3 linked regions of the Arabidopsis thaliana genome follow. The protein of the gene in region 3 binds, or shares a complex with, the protein of the main gene of each other region. Each region holds a gene or a part of one and is shown on either strand. Other genes may lie near its edges.

Region 1 (6,695 bases), on a different chromosome or scaffold from region 3:
ATTCAATCCTTGGTTTTCGTTCAACACATATCTCGCAGTCGAAAGAGCGTCTTCGTCGTTGTATTGGTCAAACAGAGGACTGTCCCTTTTCTATGGAGATTGGTGTGAAACAGAGGATTCTTACATCGTCATCTTCGTCGTTGTATTGGCCAAGATCTATGTAGTTTGTGAAACCGGATTTGAATGGAGTTTGAGAAGAGTGTATTGGCCAAGATCCTCGACGGAGATGGCGTCACGTTTGGTTGAACCACGAGCGGAGAGAGGTGTGGAGAAGATGAAACGGTCGGAGTCATTGACGGTGGCTGCATTCATGGAATCTGTGGCCATTTTTCTGATTAGGGTTTTATGATTTTTCTAGTTTTTTGCTTGTCTTGTTGGGTTGGTTACTGAAGCGTCTCATTTTTGGTGATGCTAAACCTAAAACCTAAGGCTGTCCCAACTCCCAAAACTGCTTCGTGTTTAATGGGTAATTAGGAAATAAGAATGCTATCATTTCAAAATTTGGACGTAAAATCTTTTCTAAATTAAGAATTTGAACTCAAGGTACCAAAAACCTAAACAGACTTGAAGATACAAAATAGATTACGAGAGAATGACTGGAGTAGACAAGAGACAAATCAATGCTTGGATCTCTTAGGAGTTTGTGCCTCGGCGGCATCCAAAGAAGCAACATCCCCACCCTCCTTCTCCATCTTCTTTCTCGTAAGTATCTTATTGATCTGGTGAAGTTCATTATTGAGCTTCTGGTCACGGTCACGGTTCTGCTTCCTTGTCTTTCGACCATCTTGCATCTTTACCCCGAATTGGAACGCCGCTTTTGGCATCGCTTCCTTCTGCTCATTATATTTTTCCCATTCCTCTTCTGTCTCAAAGTCCCATCGATGTAAACCACCCTTTGCCTGTTCCATGTACATTCAACAACCAGATACTGTAATTTTGCTCTTCCACAATAAATAACAAGGAACATGTAATTAAGTCAGGGCATACCTTTCCACCCATGTCCATTTTAGACAAATCAGGTTCTTCATCACTACCGACAATCTCATGGTTGTACTCTTGGTAACCTGGATAACACTCTGAATAACTCTCGGATACAAAAGTTGGATCTTTCTCCCTTGCGTCACTCTCCCTCAACTGTTGAAGCCTTTGGTCATCACGCTTGAAAACCGATCCCAAACCCCTATCTTTCTCTTCCTGCGACATGAGTTGAGGATCTAGTAAAACATCGGTTTCTGGTTGGACCTCGTAACCCTCCATTCCAGGTTGAAGGTACTGCTCCTGATACCCAGTTTGCTCTGCATATTGGTATTCCTGCCACTCTCCGGGGTACCCAGGAGCCAGTCCTTGAGTTTGCATTGCACCATATGCACTCTGGAAAAACACACAACCACCAGAAAAAACCTAAATATGGGAATAAATGACATCTAATAACTACATACCAAGACGCAAAATTTGCAGACGAGGATCAAGATTTGAGAATAAATACAACCAAGGATTAGCTAGGGTGAACTGACCATATCTTGCCATTCCTGACCAGCAGATGGCTGCACTGGACCATAAGCAGGCTCAGCGAAATAAGGTACCTTCTCCTGCACTGGACCATAAGCAGGCTCATCGAAATAAGATACTTTCTCCTTATCCCTGGGAGATTCTTCCATGTCCTCAGAAATAGGACTCTGTGTCACATCTTTACCAGGAACCGTGTAATCGACGCCTTCACCAACAAATATGTCATCATCGTCTGTCCTGGCAACAGGGGGTTCTTCTTGTTTCGTACTCAAATCCAGATGGTTTATCCCAGGTGGTAATGGCGGAGGAGGAGGTAAAACTTCCCTGTCACTTATGTTCACAGAAGATCCATTCTCAATCTTAGATTTATTGTCGTCTTCATCATAATCATTAGCAATAGTTGACATCTTTCCTGCATTTGAAAAGTTGCAGTGGATGTGATTAATAAGGCAAAATAATATAAAAAATGCATGAACGTATGATAGAATAGAAATTAGCAAATTATCTTGCTAAAGAATCAGAAACCAGCCAACTTGTATCCAATTGTATGCTGATGTGAAACAAGAACTACAACATGTACTGGCACCACATTAGCATAATAAAAATTACTAACAACAGAGTTTACAGAACCATCAAGGGACGGCAGCAACATATTTATGATACAACTAAATTTCTTCACAATTGATAAGCGAGAACACAACCAGACATCAGTAGATACTACTAGTACTGTGGTCAAAGACTAGGTACACTCTTTACATTCTTGGCTCCAAACTGTAAGACCAGATAATTAACAAATTTCGGGAAAAGCAGAGAACTTATTTAACCAGTGTAAGTGAATCAGGTCTGCTAATACTTAAACTTTACAAAAAAATGCACCAGTAGATGCAAAATACCTTTCCCATCTTTTTCTTTCTTTTTCTTCTTGAGAACTTTCCCCGACGACCCAAGGCGAAGATATGACATGATTTTAGCAATTCGATCTAGCACAGAACCATCAACATTGACTGTGACAAATTCCTGTTGGGGAGATAGGACAGAGAAACAGTGCCTGTTAAATGAAACAATTCTCGCAAAAATTGCAGCAGTGATTTCAATTATAAATTTTTATTATGTTCAGTAAACAAACATATTAAGCAACGTTAATTTTGGTTCCAGATTAGTAGAAAGAAAGTTGAATTTAGTTTAAAAAGATTTTTATAATTACTTAAAGAAAATCTATGCTTCTACCAAAACTAATGACTTATATAATCGATATTAGCTGTATTGAATACATCAACACTGTAAAAGAAAATAGGTTGCAGAGACAGGCAGAGTGGGCTTATTTTCATTAGAATCAAAACGATCATGTCACATCACTGCTTACAGTCTAAAGATTTTTCCAGGATCAAGAAGACTATTACAACAAGGACTCTAAGTATACATACCTCGGGCACCGGGCAGTCAGCTTTACTCCTATATAACGTGGTCGGTATGTCATGGGTATAGCCACCTTCCTGAAAAGCAACAAATAGAATTAAAAACAAAAGGGAATAAAATTAATATACATCAACAGGGAGGCTTTCAAAGGGCAGACTAAACCCATACTATAAGCTTAGCCTAGCAGCTTAGCTGAGACTAAGTATCTCAAAGGAAACTTCATACGTAACACTACCAAATATCAATAGTATATTCAACTGACTTTTCTTGTCGTATGGTGTCTCTATCTGCAAGAGAAAAAGAATATGCTTCTTCAAGAAGAGCAGACACGTTAATCGAACTAAAAAACCTTTACAACCAATTCTGCGTATAAGGTTTCTAACAAATAGATTAAATCGTGAATAAATCGCTAACAAGGTAATGCAAAACAGCTTAAGCTACCTTCTTAAAATTTTCCTGAGACATGTATTTAAACTAGAAGCGAAGATTTAACTAAATATTAACTAATACTCGAAGAAGAATCGTTGAAGCAGAATACACATGTATGACTACTTCCTAAGACAAACAACGACATAAGAACATGTAATAAGATTGAATCTTCCTGAAAAAGAGTTAACAAGCAATACCATATCATAGACAAATGTCATTCTACCGGGAAGAAACATCTCATTAGACTTGATGATAGTCTGAGGCTTAACAATCCACTGGTAAACTGACTGAAACAGATCAAAGACAAGAGAAACAAAAAACATCAAGCGCGTTAACTACATCCCAAAACTTGCTCCTCATCTGCAAAGTTCAGAACAAAATTGCATACCTTTGCAGCTATGGTACGGAAAGTAACTCGCTGATCTTCCTTAGGCGCACTGTTAATATAGTAAAATTAGCACTTGAATCAAAGAAGCCAAATGAGTCAATAAACCAAGTATAACCAAATCTACCTAGTCTTCCCACCATCACCATCTTCACCATCAGGTTTCTTAACGATTTCGCTTCGTACTTTATTCAACAAAGCATAATCCAAACCCTTAACTAAATGGGTATGTTCAACATCACCTAAACCATATCATAAAAACAACATAAGCACCTCAAAAAAAAAACATTTTGAATAAATTTGTAAACCTAACACAAACCTCCAAGATATTTGCTGTTCTCAATAGATATCTTAAGTGCATCAGCAGCACTACAACAAAAAAAAGTACACAGCAACAGAAATTTAGAGAAACCCAATTAGAATTTAGAAAGATAATGAAGTAATCGAGGAAAGACAAGTGCTACCGGATATCGACAGCTCCGGGAGGAGCAACGGCATGGAAAGAACTAAGCTCTGATGGATCATAATCAGGATTTTGATTCTCTCTTCTTTCTTTAGCACGATCTCTGTATTTTGGATTATCGGATTCCTCTAGTTTCTCCTCTCTGTGAAGGAAAAGTGACGAGTTTTGATGTTTTTGTGTAAAAACCCTAGCTTTTGAAGAAAAGGGGAGAGAGGAAAATGAAGATTTCTGACCTCCGACGAGCGGTTTTCTCCTTGTGATGCGATTTTGAAGGTTTCATTAGATTTCGTTAATTCGATTTCTTGTCGTGAAACAGAGAAAAATCAGATTTTGGCTGAAGTTCTTCGTTCTGATGATATCTGTGTCTGTTTCGATTTCAAAGCGTTGGTGGTTCTGGTCAGGGGAAATTAGAATTCGATGTTTAATTTAGAAACCGGATCTAATTTAAACCGATAAAATCGTTTAGCGACCGGGTTTGATTATCGAAACCTGGTTCACAAATTTTTACCATCCACCAAGGACATTAAAAACCCAATTCATTCATAATAATATTACCTTAGATCAAAGATCAAACACTACACATACAATACAAGCAACATTCCCAAAACGATGGTCTTATCTAACATTATCTACAACAAAAGTAGGCCAACATGGTCCTCATAGATGTTATGTAGACTCAAAACTATTTCTCATCGAAAAAGAAATGTAATGTAGACTGCGTCTCCTTAGATTTCTTGATGTTAGATTTCCCCATTCCATGCATCTTTCCTTGTTTCCCACTGCTTTTAACATTTTGCAACCTCTCATAGTGTTTCTGTGGCTTTTCTTGAGCTGAGAATACCTCATAGTCTCGCTTTGTCCCACTCTTTTCGCTAAACACTAAGCCACCTTCCTTCGTCGTCGGGCTAGTTAAAACTGTCTTCTGGTTTTCATTTCCTGGAATATCTTCGACAGCCTCATGCAGCTGATTCAATCTCTCATCTGCAGTAAAGAAATGATGGCTTTGAGTCTCGGGTTCTTCTTTTGAGATTCTTTGGAGATCAAGGATGTAGGACTCAGCCGGTATACTGGCACTGCTCTCACCTGTTTCTTTAGTAAGACCAGTCTTTAGGGATTTGCCTTCTTCCTTTGTACCCTCCTGAACATCATTCTTTACAGGTTCAGGAAGTGACGCAACTGCTGAGTTATCTTCAACAAATGGTTCTGCTTTCACAATCTCTTGAAACTCCAGATTTTTGGCTACATTCGACATATCTTTCTCCCCGTCTAGTTCTTCAATTTTCTTAATGCTGTCAGAAAACGTGTCCTTTTCAGCCGTAGGTTCCTTTTTCAAATCAACTATGATATTTGCATCTGTTGATTTGGTTTCTTTGTCTCCTTCATCTGTTTTGGGCTGCTTTGTTGAGAAAAACTTCGAGATCAAGCTATTTTGTGAAGTCTTTAGCGGTATCTGCAGGTGGCATAATCCTTATTTGAAATGACAATAAGCATACAGACTGTACAAATACATAGTGATCCTGACAATATGTTTAATGCGACTTGAGATCAAACTTGAGATTTGAGTTGTACACTACTAAGAAAGGGAAAGATGTTAACCGTACCTGTTGAATACACTCTGGTCCATCAAACGTTGGTTTACCAATTGCAGAGGTTACTGGATACCATACCTGAAAGTTCAAACTTCAATCTCAAGTAAATGAAAAAGGAAAGACCACTCTTATATGCGAGGAAGTAAGCAATTGCATACCAAATCCGATTTTTCATATGGTGAAAGTAATGGCTGCAGTTTCGTTGTCGAGGGATCATCTAACCATGTGTCGATTGAATCCTTATCACCAAGAATTACAGGCATTCTGTCTTACATGAAAAATAAACAAACTCACGTGTTAACACAAAAATTCAGGGCTGCTGCAAATCAACAAAACAATCATCAACAGCCGCTAATAATGTAAGCATTGTATAAGAAACGCTACTCTCAATATTAAACTACCTTAAACAGCCACTGCTTGTTCTATTCCAGTACTTAAAGAAGTTAAAGATTCTCATGCAATTACATATGTATCTTTTCTAAAAGAGCTTATCAAATCAGATGTAATACGAAAACAGAAACAACTCATACTACTATGATAAGTTTGTATCTTTATTAATGTGCGGGTTTGATTAAACCTCATTTTAAACAACGAGGAACACAAGCTTCAAGCGTCCATAGACAAATATACAATTCCCAACTTCATATGCTATGTGTTTCATTGTGCTACTGAGAATCATTACTGAATAAGAAAAAATGTCACACGATGTAGCCAGTGTATATATTACTAACCATGGAGCCATTGGAGGGCTGAAGAGGAAGCGGTTGTCAAAATCGTAAAGGTGTAAAGTGTCTCACCTGCAAGAAAAAAAAAGTAACTGTTACTTAAATTGAAAACAGGCGAGATATTGTAGCTACCAAAAAGGACATAAAACCAAAGACTTAAATTCATTCAGCAAGTTTTG
Region 2 (4,829 bases), on a different chromosome or scaffold from region 3:
TGATGTTTTGAACAGAGTAGATCATCATATATATATTCTACAGAAAACATAAAAAAAAAATAAAATCAATACATTTTGAAAGATTATACATAATTCTTAGTTTTTTTAAAACAAACATTTGAGAGGGATGGAAATGCAAAAAAAAAAACCTTTATAAATCAATTCATGTCAAAGGTATGTTCACTAAAAATGTATCTTTTCCAACAAACACATATGTTAAACCATACGTTTTTCCAACCTAATGTAAGTAACACATTTACCATTTTCTATTAATTTATTAATCAAGATCAAACATCAAAAAAATGTGTTATTACTTTTTAGTTTTTTTTTTTGCATTTCAGTTTTGTGTGAAAAAAAAAACAAGAATTGGTATCTCAAGAACGTAAAAGAAAATTATCATTACTATTTTATTATCTTTGGCTTCTACATCCAATTATTTACTTGCTTAATTTTATTCATCTGAATTATTTTTTGGTGTAAGAAGAATGTTTCGCCGCAAAAAAAAAAATCTGATCCGACATCATTAGAACAAAAAAAAACATTGGCGTTGAATATAAGCTGCTTCTCTTGTTCTTCTTCTACCTTACGCTTCTGACTGTTATTAGAGACTATGTAAATGGCTGATTCCGAGACTCCGTATCACCCCGACCCTGAGGATCTCCGGCGTATACCAGTCGATCTCTTCGCTTCCAAAAAGCTTCCCGGACTTTCCTCCGGCGATCTCGGATTTGCCGATTCTTCCGAACATCTCGTCTTCATCCTCCGCAAATCTTCTTCCTCCTTGAAATCTCTCCTTGATTCCTCCGGAGTTCCTCTCTTCTCCATCTCTCGTCTCCACGTAAGCCTCCTTCGTCCCAAATTTCATCGATTTTGGCAATTCTCATCGCTACTTGTTTAAATCTCATTATTCATTACATAGTCCACACGATGTTTATACTTTTTGATTGTTTGGGTTTTGTTAGTTAGTCACTGGCTTGAGATATATCATAAGAACACTTACAGATCTTTGTATATGTATTGGAATGTAGAATGGAGTGTGGGAATTACATAAAGGAGATGTGGAAAAGCGTAAGGATTTGGTTCTAACGGTGAAGCGGACATCGAAAAGATTCAGTAAGACAGAGTCAGAGGTCTCTTTTGCTGGAGAATCGTCCGAAAATCTTGTTATCAAAGGTGTTCCCTTTCAGAAATCTTGTACCATTTATAGTCAAGATTCCATTGTTGCACAGGTAAAGATACTCATCTTCTCCCAATTACAGCACTATTGAACATTCTATAGCTAGACAAGAGTCAATACCGTGTTATACTGGTTTTGATTACCGGGTTCAAAACTCATCGTTTGGATCATGCTTGCTGATGGATAAACAACCAACCCTTTGTTTCGTTCATTTGAAGTCGGATTCATTAGGCTTGTAAAATTTGCTTGGATTCTAATACACTTGTTTTAAAGATTTTTGTTGTTGTTGTTGTGTTTGAACATTTGCCTCAATCTGATTTATGTTCCTTTAAATGTGGTGGCAGACGAGTTTGATGTACAAGCTGAGACAGATTTACGTAGGGAGAAGCAAGTTCCGGTTAACGATATTTCCTGGATCCATCGATCATTCACTAGTAGTCGCAATGGTTGCCATATTTCTTCAAGGATGAAAGTGAAACATCCTCGATTTATTTTCTCAGTGTAAAGAAAAATGTAACACAGAAACAAAAAGGCATTTTAGTACATTGCATTTTTAATGCCTTTTGATTCAATCGGCTCACACGTGAATTGTATTATCTATCACATGAATATTGAGATATACTAAGGTCTAAGGTTAAATCTTTTTTCAGAACAAATTTGCAAGCTCAGCTGGAAAAATACAACATCATTTACATTATTTTAAAAAGTTGTTGAACATTTGAATCAAAATGATTCACAAGACTTTTGTTGGAATTTTGCAATAAAAAAATTGATCTCGAGTCTATAAAAGTCCAATCCCGACCACTCATTCTATTTCCGGTTCAATTCTGTCTAGCCGGTCAAATTCAAATCCGGTCCATCCGGTCGGCTCATTCACGTTGGTACAAAAGTTTAGGAAATCGAACCAACAAACTAAACGGCGTCGTTAAATAGTCTGATGTTGAAACGCAGCTATTTCTTTTACTCTTCTTCGTCTCTCTCATTCCCAGTTCCCACCATTAGGGCTCTCTCTAAATTCCTCAGTCTCGAGAATCTTCATCGTCTTCACGAGCTCACTCGAAGATGTTAACGGCAGATATACCACCGAATCAATCAATCTACATCCAAAACCTCAACGAAAGGATCAAGAAAGAGGGTAAACTTCTCTTCTCGTTTAATCTAATTCGTCAAGTAAATTTCCAAATTCTTAGATGTTGAAACCTCCATGAACTTCCTGTACCAATGATTCAAGCTTCTACAGTACTGAATGTTAGGGTTTTTGCTTGTTTTTAGCTTATATAGAGTGTTCGTTTCTAAATACTAGGGTTTCAGAATCGTATTGAATCTAGTGACAAGGTTATAAGGAAGATATATATGTTGGTGTTGTCTGTTTTCGCCATTGTATGGATAATTGTTATAGACGTGTGAAGTAGTGTTGGCTCAGGGCAGTATCATCAATCTCATGCTTTATCTGACTTGGTTTTTGTTTTCTCAGAATTGAAGAGATCTCTTTACTGTTTGTTCTCTCAGTTTGGGAGGATACTTGATGTGGTTGCTTTGAAGACTCCGAAGCTCCGAGGACAAGCTTGGGTTACTTTTAGTGAAGTCACTGCTGCTGGTCATGCTGTTCGTCAGATGCAAAATTTTCCCTTCTATGATAAACCAATGGTCAGTATTTCATCACTCTTGAGTATATCAATCTCTTTATAGTTTCCATGAAAGTGATCTTCTATGTGTTGTATAGATCGATAGAAGCAAATCGTTAGTGTGTTTGTGTAATTGATTACTAACAATTTGTTTTGGAACCTTTGACCTTTTTCTATTCCCAATCCATTGGTAGTCATATATGTGTTTAGATTTTGTTGCTGTTGATGAGTAACCAATGATTAGTATCCACTACCTTTTCTGTCTTGAGTATATCAATCTCTGTATAATTTCCCTGGAAGTGATATTCTGTGTGTTGTATAGATTGATTGATGCGGTAAAAGCAGAAATCCTTAGTGTGTTTATGTGATTACCAATGATTACCTTTGACTGTGTTATTCTCAATCAACATTTAGTTATATGTGTGTTTGGATTTTGTTGCTGACCTTCTCAAATCACATTCTCTTATGATTTCTGTTGTCAAAATGTTTGTTCTGTTTGATATATACATTGTTTTTATAACTAAATCTTACCTCTTTCGATTGTTTGTAAACTATTCAACTACTTCCAATCAGGTTGAGATTTATTATTATTCATACTTTTTATGTGATCTTTTAAGTGCAGCGCTTACAATATGCAAAAGCAAAGTCAGATTGTCTAGCTAAAGCTGAGGGAACTTTCGTTCCAAAAGATAAGAAGAGGAAGCAAGAAGAAAAAGGTTTTAAACTTTATTTCTTCTTTTTGCATTTTGTCGTAGATGTTGGTTCAATGATACAACTATAAAATTTTCACTTGCATCTAAAGTTAACAAACTTCCTTTCTTACTTTCAGTTGAAAGAAAGCGTGAAGATTCCCAACGACCAAACACGGCTAATGGCCCAAGTGCTAATGGTCCAAGTGCCAATAACGGAGTCCCTGCGGTAAGTGTTCTTGTTCTCACCTTCATCTTCAGAAAAATCTTCCATTGTTGGATCATGTGAACCAAACTATTGTTATCTGGAGATGATGCTGATGTTTTGCGTTTTATCTCTGCTCTTCTTAATGCAGCCTTCGTTCCAGCCGAGCGGGCAAGAAACAATGCCACCAAACAACATACTCTTCATTCAGAATCTCCCACACGAGACAACAAGCATGATGCTACAGCTTCTCTTCGAACAGTACCCTGGATTCAAAGAGATAAGAATGATCGACGCAAAACCAGGAATCGCGTTTGTAGAGTACGAAGATGATGTTCAAGCTTCCATAGCTATGCAACCTCTTCAAGGTTTCAAAATCACTCCCCAGAATCCAATGGTCATCTCTTTCGCCAAGAAATGATAAGAGTCTTGTTTTTGTTTGTTTGTTGTCCTTTAAGACGATAGTACTGGACCAACCAAACCTGGTGTGTATAACCAACCAACGGTTCTATTGGTTAACGGATTAATCCGGTTTTGGTTTAATCATTGAAAGAGACCCTTGAAACGCGGTTTCACACTTGACGATTTATCACAAATTAGGAGACGACTCATCAAAAAAGAATATCTTACTGGTCAACCATTTTATAGAAATATTAAAATCAAAAATGATATTTAGGCCAAAGTAGAAAAAGACAAGAAGAGAGAGAAACAAAAAAAACCTTGCTCAATACGCCACCGTCGTCGTCTTTAACCCAATCTAAAAGCCTCTGTTCTTTTTTAGTTTTATCCTCTTTTTCATTTCAAGATCAATTTCATAAAAAAGTTTCCTTTTTTAGCGAATCCTCTGTTTTAGAAATCTTAAAGTTGTCTCCTTTATTAAAGACCATCATGTCTTCCACTTCTTTCACCGACCTTCTTGGTTCTTCCGGCGTTGACTGTTACGAAGATGATGAAGACTTGAGAGTTTCTGGGTCGAGTTTTGGTGGGTACTATCCAGAGAGAACCGGGTCTGGTTTACCTAAGTTCAAGACGGCTCAACCACCACCTCTTCCGATTTCACAATCTTCTCATAACTTCACTTTCTCCGATTACCTTGATTCTCCTCTGCTTCTCAGCTCCTCACACGTAATAAA
Region 3 (6,547 bases):
AGGATCCTTTGGATTTATCGGAGGCATAGGGATTTTGGCAGAGGCTTTGGCGCGAAAGGCGTAACGAAAAGTCTTCAAGTTTCTTCTCCCGGATGAATTCGAAGATAGAGGAGGATGAGGAGAAAAAGAAGAAGAGCGTGGAAGCAGAGAATTCATGGATGCTTGTAAACAAGACGCCATGGTCGAGGAGCTCTTGGACACGGAAGCTCGCGAAAATGGACTCGTTGGACAAAGGAAACCAGAGGATTTATCGATGCTTTCGGAGGGGAGAGAATAATTACTGGGTCGGGTTTCGGGTTGACCCGCTATTTGATATTCCGGCTATAGCCCAAATCACATTTTAGGGAACAGGCCCAGTCGCAATAGACTTTACTTTCGGACCAAATTGCAATTATTCTGGGCCATTTCGTTTACACAAAACTCTGGTGCTATGGCCTATGAGCTGTAGTGTGTTGTTACTGTTGGTAGGATACAGGCAGGGGTTGTACCGTTTTAGAGTGATCTTATCCAAAAACAAAAGCAAGTTTAGTTTTAACACTGCAAGTTTAGTTTAAGATAATCATAAAAGACACCAGTAGTTGTAATGTAAATGTATATGTATGGAAAAACCTCACCACACCCAACACAATGTCTGATGAACTTTATTATGCAGCCGAGACAGAGTTTCCGGCTTTTTAATGACACAATAACAGACCAATTCCAGGTTCACAACTAAAACTAGAAAGACATATTGGTCGTCCCATACAAGAAGACCAGTATAATAATCCCAAATCGGAATCAAATTCTATTAGCAGTGGAGCCTGAGAAGCTTGAGACGATTCGGGTACAGCCAGTGGCCAGTTTTCATTTTCAACCAGATATCACCTGCAAAACATAATATGTAATACCGTTAAGAGAAGAAGAAATGATAACACATGACAGAGGTAGATTATGTTGCTGAAACACTTGGAGAGGCGATTTTTAGTGCACACAGAGGTTGGTGAGACCTAGTCGTTCTAAGACTCTTCAAATTTTATAGTCTGTCTCATGATTTCGTTAAGTTGGTGTTGATTGAAGAACAACCAAAGTGAGCAGGTATTTAAACAAACACCATGGATTGTGAATTAAAGAAGGTTCAGCTTTTAGACTTACAGGTGAAACTGGAGAATTCGATCTTGATCTTGATCTTGATTTTGATCTTGATTGGGACCTGCAGCAAGACCAAAAACCCCATGTAAGTGTGGCATAACAAAGAAATTTACTGACCATCTCCCATCTAGTCCCGGGAGCTTAAATGCTGTCCTAGAAAAGAACTCAACACAGAATCCACTATTGTCAAAAAGATAAATATATTGAGGAATCAGAGTAATCATAGTCCAAAACTTTGCGATCAGATCCTACAGCTGATACGCGCGGAGTACCAGACCAGACCAGACCGTAAAAACAGAAGTTCAAGTTCATGCTAATCCAGCTTTGTAAATCCAGTCCAAGAATCCATCTAGATGACCCATCTAGATCCAATCCCCAGCTCGTAGCAGTGAGCCAGATCTAGAAAACAAACAACGCAATACAATTGTAATCACGGTAAATGATCGAGGACATGCCTCAGAAATCCATCTTCCCCCTTCCGATAGAAATAAATTTTCAAAAAGTGAAACATCTAGCTAAGTGTTCTTTAAATTATAAGTCGGATAATGAAGATTGATACGTAATAAATTCACCGTCGCTGGAAAAAAGTTAAGAAGTAAAGCTTTATCAGAAGGAAACATCCAGAAGAGAACGACACAAAGAGAAAGGAAAAGGACTAAATATGATGGGAGCATCTCTGTCAAGAACTCAAAACATAAAAAACAAACACATTCACGTGTAAGAAATGAAAAGGAACTCTGGTAATCCCAAACAAGGAGGTAACCTTTACCCATATTGGAGTTTGCATGACATAGAAAACATCAACAAAGGAAGAAAATCAAGTGACAATAGACTAGTCCACTATGAGGGAAAAAAGACTCAAACAAATTCAACTGTGTACGGAAGCAACAAAAGGTGCTTAGTTGTAAGTAATAAAGCTAGTAAGGAGTTCACTATGCAAGAACAAGTGATCCATGAAGGGGTAACTACATATATAATAATGATACAAATCTAACACTCATACCTTGAGACAGAGCTGTATAGCGAGCGAGAACGACTAAGGGGCCGTGAACGCGGGGAAATGGATCTAGCAGGTGACACACTGCATTGCATTTAGAAGTCAGTTAATTTCATAAATAAGTTACAATAAAAATCCCTTATATGTCTTAGGTTTATGAAAAAAAAAAAAAAAAAAAGACCTCCTGCTCTTGCTACTATAGCTACAGCTTGGACCACGGCTCCGACTCCTGCTTCTATAGCTTTTAGAATCATCTGGGCTTCGACTCACACTCCTCGACTCATATTCCCTCACCTGAACAGTAAATTCAGAGATGACTCCATATCCACTTATGCTTAACAAAATCAAAGAAAGCAATACAACATACCCGTATATAAGCACTAGAGAAAGCATTTCGAAATTCAGTGGCATCAAGTTTCCTTATCTGTCACATCAAAAATTTTAAGGGAACATCAAAGATCCAACACTGGCCTCCAGGAAGATAAATTCAGCTCGGTATACTATGAAACAAAAGCAGTCTAAGGCATAAGTCCAGGAACATTTGCGTTGCAAAGATATAAAACTTACTGCGTACTTCATATCATCATAGTTGCTATAATCCACAACCCCAGACATGCCTACAAAGAAATACTGAATGTGAGTTTAGCAGTTCAGATGCTTAACACCTATTCTCCTTCACAAAGACTAATTTACTAACACATCAATCAAAAGCTTATCCAAACTATCGAATGTCAACTCACCTTTACGGTCAGGGAAAACTTCAGAGAAGCAGACATCTCCAGCTTTGCGCATGTGATCCTAATCACCCGTAAATAGCAAATAACATCATTTCAGAAAAGAGATAAATCCAAAACATGATATAGAGAACCAACATTCAGAGAAAAAGACTATATAGTGTCCCTTACCTTAAGGTCCTGCCACGAAGCAGAAGGCGGTAATCCGGTCACAAGCACTACATGTTTAGGTAGTAAAAATGAGTTTTCAAATATAAAATTTTACACAACACCAAATAACACAATCGAGAAGACTCTACAAACCGCGGTAGTCAGAGCGTCTTGAAGGTGCACGGCTCGCACTGTAGCTGCTGCTGTACCTATCAACTGATGGTGAAAATCTACGACCACCATGTGCAATCTCAACCTAAAAACATCACACAAAGATAACACCTTTACAAGAAATTACAGAAAATTAAGCTAGCTTTCATCATGCGTTTACTAACCCGAAGTCGACACCCATCAAAATCATAACCATCACGTCCATAAATTGCATCGTCTGCATCACGAGGATCTTCAAACTGCCACCAATAACAAACTATCTTAGTCATTAGCCTATACTATTACAAGAAGAAGAAAAAAACAAATTTGTACTTGATCAATATACCTCGACAAAGGCATAACCAGGAGGTCTCGGTGGAATCTTCAAATCAATGTCCACAATTGGTCCATACTGAAACAAATATACATAAGAGTCGATTTAAATTGTCTCAGCAAGACAGAATTGCAAATTTATGAACCCAAACAAGTCATAATGAATTCAATTTTTATCGAGAGAAAAGAGGAATTTTCAAACCTTGTAGAAGAGATCTTCAACCTCACACTTGCGAATATCTCCAGGCAAATTCCCAACGTAGATCGTACGATTCCATCGGCTACTCATCTGATACCTCAGAGCAGAAAATTAGTTCCTGTAAAAATCTAGAAGAGAAGAAATTGATTACTGGAAAAATAATTTCGAGAAAGAAGAAGAAGAAGATGTTCGAGAAAGCGTTAGATTGTTCTGGAAAGGAGACAACCACCGTTCGTTTGGAAACTAGTATCCTTTTATAAAACGGAACTGGATTTTAATCCTGTGCGGCCGCATGTATCAACGATGAATAGCCCAGTTGATCAAGATCGGCCCATATGTTTTAATGGGCCTGTTAATATATTGTTCTAACCGGATCGAATGTGTTTTTTCTTATCATTCAAACCGGAATATTGTATGTTAGTTATTACAATTCGAACCAATTTCGAATCGGATTCGGACCATCGGGTCATTCATTCTCCTAGGTTTCCTAAACACTGTCGTTTTTGGACAAAAGAGACACTAGATCGGAAACACTTGGGGATTTTTTTGAGAGAAACATTCTCTCGGTTCCTCTACTACCACCTCTCAAATCTCAATTCGCCGATTAGTAACTCCGTCCAAGACCATTTTCCGCCGTGACACCGTCCACGGTCTCTCTCAGTCCGTGAGTTCCTGCTCTGTTCCGTTTGGTTTTTCTGTTTTGGAATTTCAGTATTTTTCCTATTGAATTTGTTGCGATATGATGTCCAAATTTTTGGTTTGTTGAGTGATGTTCCGATATTTCCGTTATCAATCATCTTCCACTGTTCGCTTGCAGGGAAGAAGATACCATAGTTAGAAGCTGGTGATCATTTTCAATAAACCTCGAACATGTTTAAGAAGTAAGCATCTTTGTCTCTTTCTAGATTCTTTCTCTACTTTTTTATTTAGATAGAAACTGTTTTTCATACCCGGATTGTAGAATCTAAGAATTAGTGGTTTCAACATCTCGGCATTGTTTATACTAGTTGATAAAGAATGTGATGGTCTCTTTATTTAGTATCCACTTACTCTAATAACTATCGAGAACTCACTCCCTTCTACTTGTTGTCGACCACATTGTTAATTTGATTGCTTAGAGTAGCCTTGGTATGGGCATATTGGTTGTTATATTTTCTTCAAAGTAGAAGGTTTTGAGTTCTCAAAAGCTAACATCTTGCTATTGTAAAGTTTTGGTTTCTATATTGATAGTGTCACTATTTGATTTATCAAATCTGTACAAAGAGTCGTGGGTCATAGAGGAAAGTTTGTGTCTTGATTTGACCAGTCTAAACTCTCTACTATCATGGAGTTTGTGTTTATCCATCTCCTGAAACATGCTTATACATTCATAGTGAATCTTGTATAAAGTTTATTTTTCCCTACTGCTATCAACTTTAGATCTATTTGATATACCATTATGTCTATGAAGGTGTTATTTATGTTCACTACTTTTTATTTAGGTTTTGTTTGGAGGAGATTTCATCACAAAACCAAGTGAAGGCATCTGTTCAACGTAGGATCCGCCAGAGTATCCAAGATGAGGTATGTCTGTTGTTTCATTTGTCTTTTTCCCCTTCTTAAACTTTTATGATTTCGTGAAGTTTGTCAGATATAAATATGTTTATGTTAATGTTGCAGTACCCGGGACTTGAATCAGTGATGGAGGATCTACTTCCCAAAAAGATTCCTCTTATCGTAGTGAAGTGGTCTGTAAATTAACAAACTCATATTCATTGTTTTGTTTTCTGAATTTTCTTTTACCCACTATCTATGTCTTACAGTATTCCTGACTATATTTCTCGTGCAGCCCAAACCATCTGACCCTAGTTGTTGTCAACAATGTCCCCCTCTTCTTCTGTATCCGTGACGGGCCATACATGCCAACACTGCGGCTTCTTCATCAATGTAATATCACTTTTCCTTCACACCATCCATGCTATATGGTCTTGTTATCAAAACATAACATATCTGGGTGTTTTATTCATACAATCACTCTTCTTCACACCTGTTAGTCTTACTGTGGTCTGCAGTAGAACTTACCTGGTTCAAATACTGCATATACCTGAATAGTATGTCCGACACTTTTCTCTGAGTTATTTAGAACTTCCTGGGGTTTGGTTCCTGTAAGTTGTTGTTCCTTTGGCTTTTTTCATGCGAGTGAACTATATAAAAGGTCCACGTATGATTGGTTAGCCAGGATTTTTGTTTAGTATATTTTGTTTTATGTTTTCCGGGTTAGCTGACCCTTATCATAGTGAGAAGGTTTTGGCATTGGCTGTTACCAGAAGAGTATAAAATATTCTTGAAAACACCACGTTCAGCTAACTTTTACATACTTGAATGATACATAGAAAGAAACTTGGAGTTTTTTCAATTAGCCACGAATGTCAAAAATTTGGCAGCTGAATGTTTGGAGTTTTGCAGACCCAAATATAATGAAGAGGTTTCAAGTTGATAGAGGTGCCATAAAGTTTGTTCTGTCTGGTGCAAACATAATGTGTCCTGGTCTTACATCCCCGGGAGGCGTTCTGGATCAAGAAGTCGAGGCTGAAAGGCCAGTGGTATGAATAAAAACAGTATTTCCCTGGGTTGCATTTTTGTTTGTATATGCTGATCTTAAACCATGAATCTGTATTTGTTTAGGCCATATATGCAGAAGGAAAGCAACATGCCTTAGCAATAGGCTTCACCAAAATGTCAGCAAAGGACATGTAAGTCAATTTTTCGCTGGAATTTATTTGAAAATACAAACATGTGCTTTGATATACTTTCGTATCTTAGCCAAAATACAGTCTCTTGGCTCCAGGCCTCTCCAAGTAACCCTATCTTTGTCAC

What was found. The genes of interacting proteins can lie anywhere in the genome.
Region 1: SR30 (region 3) and SMU2 share a complex: the UniProt entries of both Arabidopsis thaliana proteins name them as parts of the spliceosome.
Region 2: SR30 (region 3) and U2B'' share a complex: the UniProt entries of both Arabidopsis thaliana proteins name them as parts of the spliceosome.

Annotation. Positions count from the first base shown.
Region 1 is NC_003071.7:11,254,432-11,261,126, forward strand, and holds SMU2 (RED family protein), read right to left. Parts: upstream 4,640-6,695; 5' UTR 4,483-4,639; coding exon 4,436-4,482; intron 4,345-4,435; coding exon 4,204-4,344; intron 4,109-4,203; coding exon 4,059-4,108; intron 3,982-4,058; coding exon 3,867-3,981; intron 3,792-3,866; coding exon 3,743-3,791; intron 3,642-3,742; coding exon 3,552-3,641; intron 3,003-3,551; coding exon 2,934-3,002; intron 2,527-2,933; coding exon 2,403-2,526; intron 1,922-2,402; coding exon 1,515-1,921; intron 1,372-1,514; coding exon 988-1,371; intron 900-987; coding exon 618-899; 3' UTR 501-617; downstream 1-500. Other genes in the region: AT2G26470 (embryonic stem cell-specific 5-hydroxymethylcytosine-binding protein), read right to left, coding at 4,885-5,652, 5,804-5,869, 5,950-6,059, 6,523-6,588. UniProt on the Arabidopsis thaliana protein: Auxiliary spliceosomal protein involved in splicing of specific pre-mRNAs that affect multiple aspects of development.
Region 2 is NC_003071.7:12,904,845-12,909,673, reverse strand, and holds U2B'' (U2 small nuclear ribonucleoprotein B), read left to right. Parts: upstream 1-2,008; 5' UTR 2,009-2,239; coding exon 2,240-2,312; intron 2,313-2,651; coding exon 2,652-2,824; intron 2,825-3,424; coding exon 3,425-3,518; intron 3,519-3,631; coding exon 3,632-3,720; coding exon of another isoform or gene 3,721-3,780; exon of another isoform or gene 3,781-3,847; coding exon 3,848-4,117; 3' UTR 4,118-4,329; downstream 4,330-4,829. Other genes in the region: AT2G30270 (LURP-one-like protein (DUF567)), read left to right, coding at 617-838, 1,029-1,229, 1,522-1,647; WRKY25 (WRKY DNA-binding protein 25), read left to right, coding at 4,585-4,821. UniProt on the Arabidopsis thaliana protein: Involved in nuclear pre-mRNA splicing.
Region 3 is NC_003070.9:2,942,038-2,948,584, forward strand, and holds SR30 (SERINE-ARGININE PROTEIN 30), read right to left. Parts: upstream 3,940-6,547; 5' UTR 3,782-3,939; coding exon 3,695-3,781; intron 3,572-3,694; coding exon 3,506-3,571; intron 3,420-3,505; coding exon 3,345-3,419; intron 3,266-3,344; coding exon 3,163-3,265; intron 3,078-3,162; coding exon 3,031-3,077; intron 2,924-3,030; coding exon 2,866-2,923; intron 2,743-2,865; coding exon 2,693-2,742; intron 2,550-2,692; coding exon 2,493-2,549; intron 2,420-2,492; coding exon 2,307-2,419; intron 2,210-2,306; coding exon 2,132-2,209; coding exon of another isoform or gene 2,119-2,131; exon of another isoform or gene 1,528-2,118; coding exon of another isoform or gene 1,491-1,527; exon of another isoform or gene 1,190-1,490; coding exon 1,132-1,189; intron 865-1,131; coding exon 850-864; 3' UTR 501-849; downstream 1-500. Other genes in the region: AT1G09130 (ATP-dependent caseinolytic (Clp) protease/crotonase family protein), read right to left, coding at 1-180; AT1G09150 (pseudouridine synthase and archaeosine transglycosylase (PUA) domain-containing protein), read left to right, coding at 4,562-4,572, 5,173-5,254, 5,351-5,418, 5,520-5,617, 6,137-6,273, 6,356-6,423. UniProt on the Arabidopsis thaliana protein: Regulatory splicing factor that modulates alternative splicing and gene expression in specific cell types. Autoregulates its own expression. Probably involved in intron recognition and spliceosome assembly.